Linked DNA regions of Arabidopsis thaliana. The protein of the gene in region 1 interacts with the protein of each later gene in a pairwise test. Each region holds a gene or a part of one and is shown in the gene's direction. Other genes may lie near its edges. The genes, in order: AT5G43520 and BCAT-2.

Evidence for each region.
Region 2: the proteins of AT5G43520 (region 1) and BCAT-2 interact in a two-hybrid assay, tested with the Arabidopsis thaliana proteins (one large-scale study listed by BioGRID).

Annotation. Positions count from the first base shown.
Region 1 is NC_003076.8:17,484,695-17,488,606, reverse strand, and holds AT5G43520 (Cysteine/Histidine-rich C1 domain family protein), read left to right. Parts: upstream 1-2,297; 5' UTR 2,298-2,415; coding exon 2,416-3,168; 3' UTR 3,169-3,376; downstream 3,377-3,912. Other genes in the region: LURE1.5 (Putative membrane lipoprotein), read right to left, coding at 91-314, 410-458; LURE1.4 (Putative membrane lipoprotein), read right to left, coding at 3,806-3,912.
Region 2 is NC_003070.9:3,286,019-3,289,951, forward strand, and holds the start of BCAT-2 (branched-chain amino acid transaminase 2), read left to right. Parts: upstream 1-2,068; 5' UTR 2,069-2,236; coding exon 2,237-2,302; exon of another isoform or gene 2,303-2,412; coding exon 2,413-2,486; intron 2,487-2,583; coding exon 2,584-2,761; intron 2,762-2,842; coding exon 2,843-3,019; intron 3,020-3,101; coding exon 3,102-3,233; intron 3,234-3,310; coding exon 3,311-3,409; intron 3,410-3,484; coding exon 3,485-3,601; intron 3,602-3,663; coding exon 3,664-3,759; intron 3,760-3,837; coding exon 3,838-3,933. Other genes in the region: BCAT-1 (branched-chain amino acid transaminase 1), read left to right, coding at 74-190, 286-381, 516-628, 705-819. UniProt on the Arabidopsis thaliana protein: Converts 2-oxo acids to branched-chain amino acids. Shows activity with L-Leu, L-Ile and L-Val as amino donors and 2-oxoglutarate as an amino acceptor, but no activity for D-isomers of Leu, Ile, Val, Asp, Glu or Ala.

The DNA of each region.
Region 1 (3,912 bases):
ATGTTCATTATTGTAAAAAGAAGGGCATGGATGAACATTAAGCAGTAATATAATTTGTTTTTTATTAATGTTTAACAAAATTACAATACCTTATTTAATATCACTAATACTGTAACGACAAAGTTTTCTTTCAAAACTACATGTACGAATATACTTACCCCGTCTCATACAAGCTCTTGCGCAATCAAAACAGTAACCAATTCTCCCAATTTTAAGTTCTTGGTTCAGTGAGCGTGGATCAAAAGGACTTGCTCTTGGACTGAAAGAATATGTTCTCTCTTCATCACTAGATCCATTTATAAGTACTGATGTACCTATCAAATTTTCAAAAGATATATCAAATTCTTAAACAGTTTTTGTAATGATTATAATACTGACACATTATCCTAATTAAATAATTTAAACTTACATGAAGAAACAAAAATTAATAGAGTTAAGAATATAATAGGCAACTTCATTTCTTGGTAGAAATTAACCAATATCACAAAGAAAATATATTAAATATTATTGTGAATCGTTTTTCTTTTGTTTTGCTCTGGAGTATTAAAGCAATATTTAGTCATATTTATAGACTCTGTAGATAAATATGTTATATAAAGAGTTAATTTTCAGTTAAACGTTTTATTTTGTTATAAAGTAAAATTTAGTAACATATTACGTTTGTTTTTGTTTTAAAATTATAATTTTTTAGTTATTAAAATCTGTTATATATTGGTATAAATAGTAATATACATCTAATAAGTGCAAACAATTACATGTTTAAAACTTTAGATTTCAAAAATTACTATTGATGCCCACATTTTATTTAAAATATTTAATTCGAGGAACTAATAAATATATAATATAATTTGATTAAAAATATCAAAAAGTTCTATATTATATATATACTAACTCATGATGCCTATCTTGCTTTTCTAACAAAATCTTAAATCACTTTTGGATTCCTTATTAATACTTATGATCTTAAAGATGACCAAATCAATTAAATTCTTATATGCCTCGAATCAATCCAAACTCTTTCTACATATGTATATCTTTTAGTTATAAATTGCTTAAATTATTTATTAATAAGAAAATCTTTAAATCACCTTATTTCATTTTTTTTTTTGAACAAACACCTTTCAGTTTTTATCTATAGAAACAAATTATTCTTCAAAGTCTTATAAACAAAAGTCTTTTAAGTTGTAACCTGATTATTAATAAGATTTGGTATTAAGTTTTTGAGATTGTTTTACCAAAAAAAAAAGAAAAAAACAAGTTTTTGAGATTTAAACGAAAAAAACCCCTCAAGTATCGATAAATCCATTTTAAAGCCCTCAGCTATATTATTAATGAAAAAACCCTTAACTAAGAGATTTAAGTGACAAAAACCCTTAAGTATTAATCAATTTTTTTTACTTTTTGTGCAGCATCTTCAATATCTAAATTAGTAATAAATGATGATAAACTTGGAGACTCTTGTATAACGAAATCAGAAAAAGAATTTTTCGACTTTTAAAGATATATACCTGAAACTGCATAGATTTGAAACTTTTCTAACGGGGATGACACTATCTTTAAACCGTCAAAGTTTTTAATAATATTCCAATACATGATCAAATTTCCAACCATATTTGAAATTTAGATCTTGCATATATATTAGCATTTCTTAATTTCCCTTGATTGAACTGGATACAGTTTTAAGAAAAATATAAATAAATAATGATGCTTGCATGTAGTTTATATAGAATACTCACTACATCATCACTTGAAGCACCACTTGAATGTTTATATTCACATTATTTGATCTATGCATGTTGTTTTCTTGTTGCTTTCTTTTTTTTGGTAGGGAATTGATCTGTACAGAAGTTTTCGTTTGTTTTAAGACTTAAAACTATGGTTAACCAATTAACCTTTTTTTTTGGTGAGAAGAGGGGAGACAACCGACAATATATTACTCAAAACTATATTAAACCAATTAACCTTATCAAATGGAAGTTGCACAAGATAAATTAGATAATAATTAGCATAGACTTAGAGACGTTGACCTCATTAAACCTTATCCTCTCTACACACACACATATATATATTATGCGGATATGCCCTAGTTGCTATAAAACTCGGATGTTAATTAGAATATTTATTTCTACAAGTTATCTTAATCTTAGAATAATAAACACCAAAGCGCGTCTAAATACTTTTATTTCCTAAACTTTGAATCCCAAATGTCAAAGTCTCCTATACAGATGTCAAACCTTATAATTAGCGAAATAGCATAATACAATGACAACTTGATTAATATAATCAATAAAACGAAACGCATACTCATTAAACCTACAATTATAATGAAGTCCTCTTGCAGTTTTTGGTATATAAAGTTCCACACCCTTCTCCCTCAAAACAACCAAAACCAAACACAAATCAATAACATACTAAATGGCTTCAAGAAAACCAAAGGCCAAACCGGTTAATCGCCAATCTGTGAGGCACCCAAGTCACAACCATCCGCTGCGTGTCTTTAAAGCCAAAGAAGAGGATGAGACCGCATGCTCTGGCTGCGAGCTAGAGCTGACCGGGCAAGCTTTCAAATGTATAAAGTCAGAGTGCGATTACTTCTTACACAAGTCATGTTTCGACCTTCCTAGTGAGACCAATAACAAGTCTCACCAGGACCACCCTCTGACCTTGCTTCATTCCCCACCAGATGATCGGTCTGTCTACACGTGTGACGCGTGTGACCAATACGGATCTGGATTTTCTTACCATTGCTCAAACTGCAACTACAGTCTTCATGTGGGATGTGCGTTTATCCCTGAAACCGTAGATCGTGAAGATCATGAACATCCACTCACTCTTCTTTATTGCACACCGTGTAAAGGACGTGAAGACACGTACTTCACTTGCAGCGCTTGTGATGAAACTATTTCAGAAGATCTATGGATGTATTACTGTAAGGATTGTGACTATGGAACACATCTACACTCATGTGCGGCATATGAAGACCAAGGGAAAGAAGAAGAAGATGAAGACGAAGAAGGAGAAGCGAGTTCTCCAGCTTCTAGGATAAAGTCGTTGATGAAGGCGCAAGACGAGATGGCGGCTATGCAGCTAGAGGCACGTATTGAGAATGATGCGAGGAATGCTGCACTTGATCTGTGGGATGAACCAAAACGTAGATACTATTGGTGATCAAGAAGGGACGAATATATTTATGAATATTGATATTTTTCTTTGCGAAATATGGTTTCCAAAAATAAAGAAACAATAGATATATTACTCTTTCTTGTTTGGTTCTTGTTTATTTGTGTGGATTTAATCATAAACACTCGTGTGTAAGTTGTTTATTTTGCAATATGAAGAAGAAGAAAAAATTTAAGTTGATTTGAAGATTTGTTTTCTTTCATTTTCTCTATCGTAACTCGGAAGAGGTTTAGGTAAATATGTAACATAATCAAACATATTGGAACCTTATTTATCTAGAGATGTGACGGTGATTAAAAACTTTGACCCTTTAAAAAACTTTCAAACCCGTATTTTATATAATAAAATAGATTTACAGTATAGATGAGCAAAATAAATTTGTTTAAATGTAAAATGTTTAGAAAAAAACTAACAGTTTCCTTGATTATAATGAATAAGTTTAATTTTTCAAAAATATTTTTTTATTTGTCAAGGACTTATGTTTCCCAATAAATTTCATGTTTAATGCACACTACAAAACTGTTAGATTATTATACATGTTCATTATTGTAAAAAGAAGGACATGGATGAACATTAAACAGCAATATTTTTTATTATTATTAATGTTTAACAAAGTTACAATGCCTTATTTAATATCACTAATACTGCAACGACAAAGTTTTCTTTCAAAACTACATGTACGAATATACTTACCCCGTCTCATACAAGCTCTTGCGCAATCAAAACAGTAAC
Region 2 (3,933 bases), on another chromosome or scaffold:
ATAGTTTCAAGTACTAAGCAAGGTGTTTCGTTCCAAAGTAAGTGTTAATTGTTTTGGTGATTAACTGTGAAAGGTGCTTGAAGTGATGAGAAGAGCAAAATCAAGAGGGTTTTCGGATGTTTTGTATCTTGATGCAGATACTGGGAAGAACATAGAAGAAGTCTCTGCTGCTAATATATTCCTTGTGAAGGTTAACAAACACTCTATTTAAGACAAAAGTGGAAGGGATTTTTTTTGTTCTAATGATGCTGTTGTATACTAATTGAAGTTTATTGAGTCTTTCAGGGCAATACAATAGTGACACCAGCTACGAGCGGAACGATTCTCGGAGGGATCACACGTAAGAGCATAATCGAAATCGCCCTTGATCTTGGTTACAAAGTTAGTAGTTATTCCACGTCTTTTTTCTTCTAACACCGTTTCCAATCTTGAGTCAAAAAACAGAGCAATACTCTGTTTCAAAATAGGAATACTTTTGATGCATGGAAGTTTTGATAAGTGTGTAATGGACTCAGGTGGAAGAACGAAGTGTTCCGGTAGAAGAACTGAAGGAAGCTGAAGAAGTTTTCTGCACTGGAACTGCCGCTGGAGTTGCTTCTGTTGGAAGCATCACTTTTAAGAACACAAGGTCTCTTCTTCCTCTCTGGATACATGTATACATATGCTTAGAATTTTACATTTATCTGTTGATAAATAATCTGCAGGACTGAGTACAAAGTTGGAGATGGGATTGTTACACAGCAACTTCGATCTATTCTTGTCGGAATACAAACTGGTTCTATCCAAGACACTAAAGATTGGGTTTTGCAGATTGCCTAAGTTACTTTCATATCCTATAAATAATGTTGCACTCTCTTGATCACCCATCAAAAGCTTTTGAAATAGTTTTTGGTAAATTTGTGACATAAATTTGTGATATATCACCACATCGTATTAGTATTAAACATTTGTTTCACTCTTCCAAAGAGACAAAAGCAAAACTAAAGACCTTCAACTTCAAGGTCAGGATATGTAATCTAATGGTTTGTCTTTGTGGCATTTTGCCACCATTGGTTCAAAATACCATTGCTGTATGATCAGCCTCCTCAGATTCTATTTGCCAGACTCTACGGCGGTATATTCGCTTTTAGAAAAAAAACAATTTTGTCGAAACTTTTTTTTTTTTGTAAATATTGTAGATTCCACACACAAGACTGTCTAAGATTCTTTGATAAGACACGACAAATGCGATTTAAGATTTTTCAAAGAAATGAGGTTCGTTGATTGTTCCACTAGGTTTGGTATATTTATAATTTGAATTTTTTTTTTTAAAGATATTTATAAGAAAACGAAGGAGTGTGCTCGCGTCAAGTGTGTACTAATAGTCGATGACACTAGTGATACGACGATACTGGAAAGGGACATCAATATTCATTAGTAAGCCATCTTAGCAAAAACGTTGTTATCAGATAAGAAAAGTTCTCAGACTGACGTGGCTGTCAATCTCCACAACGTGTTTATCTCCCATTTGGGTAGTTACGGACAAAGACGTTGAAAAGACAACAATATGGTCTAAAAGATTGACATGGAAAGAAAATTGTTTATCCGACAAAGACCTCTTGGTCCAACGTGGCTTTCACATCACTAGTTTACTATTTCACATCTCATGGAAAATTACTGAAATTAGTACTTGTCTGTATTTTGTTTTTTCGTCAAGTATTTGTTTGTATACTTTAGGTAATTGCGTGCCGAAGAAACATTGCTAAATTGATATTTATACCAACTTACAATAGTTTACAGTTCAAAAATAGAAATCTCCATTTTGAAGATACACCACTAATTTTCTTCATTTATTTACCCCATAAGAGAACGAGAAAAGAACAATAGTCCGTTGATTTCGTTAAAATCTAGTTTCAGAAAGACACGTCTAGATCTGTCTGATCAGGGCAGATAGACACAAGTGACGAAGCAAAAGAAACACAAAAATAAGATAAGAACTCTTACCACTAAAAGATAAAAATAAGAAAAAAAATAAAACAAATTCAACGATTTGCCAAGATAAAAGCAGACACTGTACATAAGCTCCGCATTCACTTACGTGTTGGATACTTAATTTGACACTCTTCTTTGTGTTTTCTCTTCCACCTTCTTTTTCGGTATATCATTCAACAAAATTCTCTCTTCATTTCTTTATTTTGTTGTTTTTTTTATTATTATTGAAATCAAGAGAATTAAAACAGAGGCTCTGCAAAAGAAGATGATCAAAACAATCACATCTCTACGCAAAACTCTGGTTCTACCTCTTCATTTACATATTCGTACGGTATAAACTGGATTCTTACAATCTAATGATGATTACTTACTTAGAGACATAACTCGGATCTCAGATACAAACATGTTTTATGTTCTGTTTTTTTTGTCCTGATGAAATAGCTACAAACTTTCGCCAAGTACAACGCACAAGCTGCATCGGCTTTGCGAGAAGAGCGTAAGAAACCTCTTTATCAGTAAGTTCTCTTTTTCATGATCCAGCCAGGTCATATAGATATTTTGTTACCATTGGAAAAAGCTCTGTTTCAAATTTGTTGTAATTGTATCATATAGAAATGGAGATGATGTATATGCGGATTTGGATTGGGATAATCTCGGGTTTGGTCTAAATCCAGCTGATTACATGTATGTCATGAAATGCTCAAAAGACGGCGAATTCACTCAAGGAGAACTTAGTCCCTATGGGAATATTCAGCTAAGTCCTTCTGCTGGAGTCTTAAACTATGGACAGGCAAGGATCTCGTAACCCCCAAATGTTTCTTGATTTGTTTCTCAACTGTATGATCAATAGAGGTTTTGGGATTCTTTGCAGGCGATATACGAAGGTACAAAAGCATACAGGAAAGAAAATGGGAAGCTTCTTTTGTTTCGTCCGGATCACAACGCTATCCGGATGAAGCTTGGCGCTGAACGGATGCTCATGCCTTCTCCTTCGGTTGATCAGTTTGTTAATGCAGTTAAACAAACCGCTCTTGCAAACAAACGTTGGGTAAAAACGCTTTCTTGTGACGTATATTTCTTCTGAAGAGGTTTGTTTTTGGGATCTGATAAGTGATGATGTGTTTGTTCAGGTTCCTCCTGCAGGGAAAGGGACTTTGTACATTAGGCCTTTGTTGATGGGAAGTGGTCCAATACTTGGTTTAGGTCCTGCACCTGAATATACATTCATTGTCTATGCATCTCCAGTTGGTAACTACTTCAAGGTATATACAATACTCTTGCATGTCCATGCTTTTTGGCGATGGAACGATTAGCAAATGTTTTGTTCACTGATTTGTAGGAAGGGATGGCTGCTCTTAACCTCTATGTTGAGGAAGAATATGTCCGAGCGGCTCCTGGTGGAGCTGGAGGCGTCAAGAGCATCACAAATTATGCGCCAGTAAGTGTTGAAACCAACTTAGTTTCTCAAAGACCAGAGTCAGAAAAAGAGTTTTGATAAACCACGTGTTTGTAGGTTTTGAAAGCACTGAGCAGAGCCAAGAGTCGGGGGTTTTCAGACGTTCTTTATCTCGACTCTGTCAAGAAGAAGTACTTAGAGGAGGCTTCTTCTTGCAACGTCTTTGTTGTCAAGGTAAGATATATTGTGGTGTCTCCATGTCTCTTTGTTGCATCCTAATTGTATCATTGATTCAGGGTCGGACAATCTCAACTCCTGCAACTAATGGAACAATTCTTGAAGGGATTACGCGGAAAAGTGTGATGGAGATCGCAAGTGATCAAGGTTATCAGGTAACACAGATAAGATTGAATCACTCTAAACACCCAAAAACTAAACTCAGCTAAGTTTCACACCTGAGTTATGATCAGGTAGTAGAGAAGGCAGTTCATGTGGATGAAGTAATGGATGCAGATGAAGTTTTTTGCACCGGAACTGCTGTAGTAGTTGCTCCCGTGGGCACTATC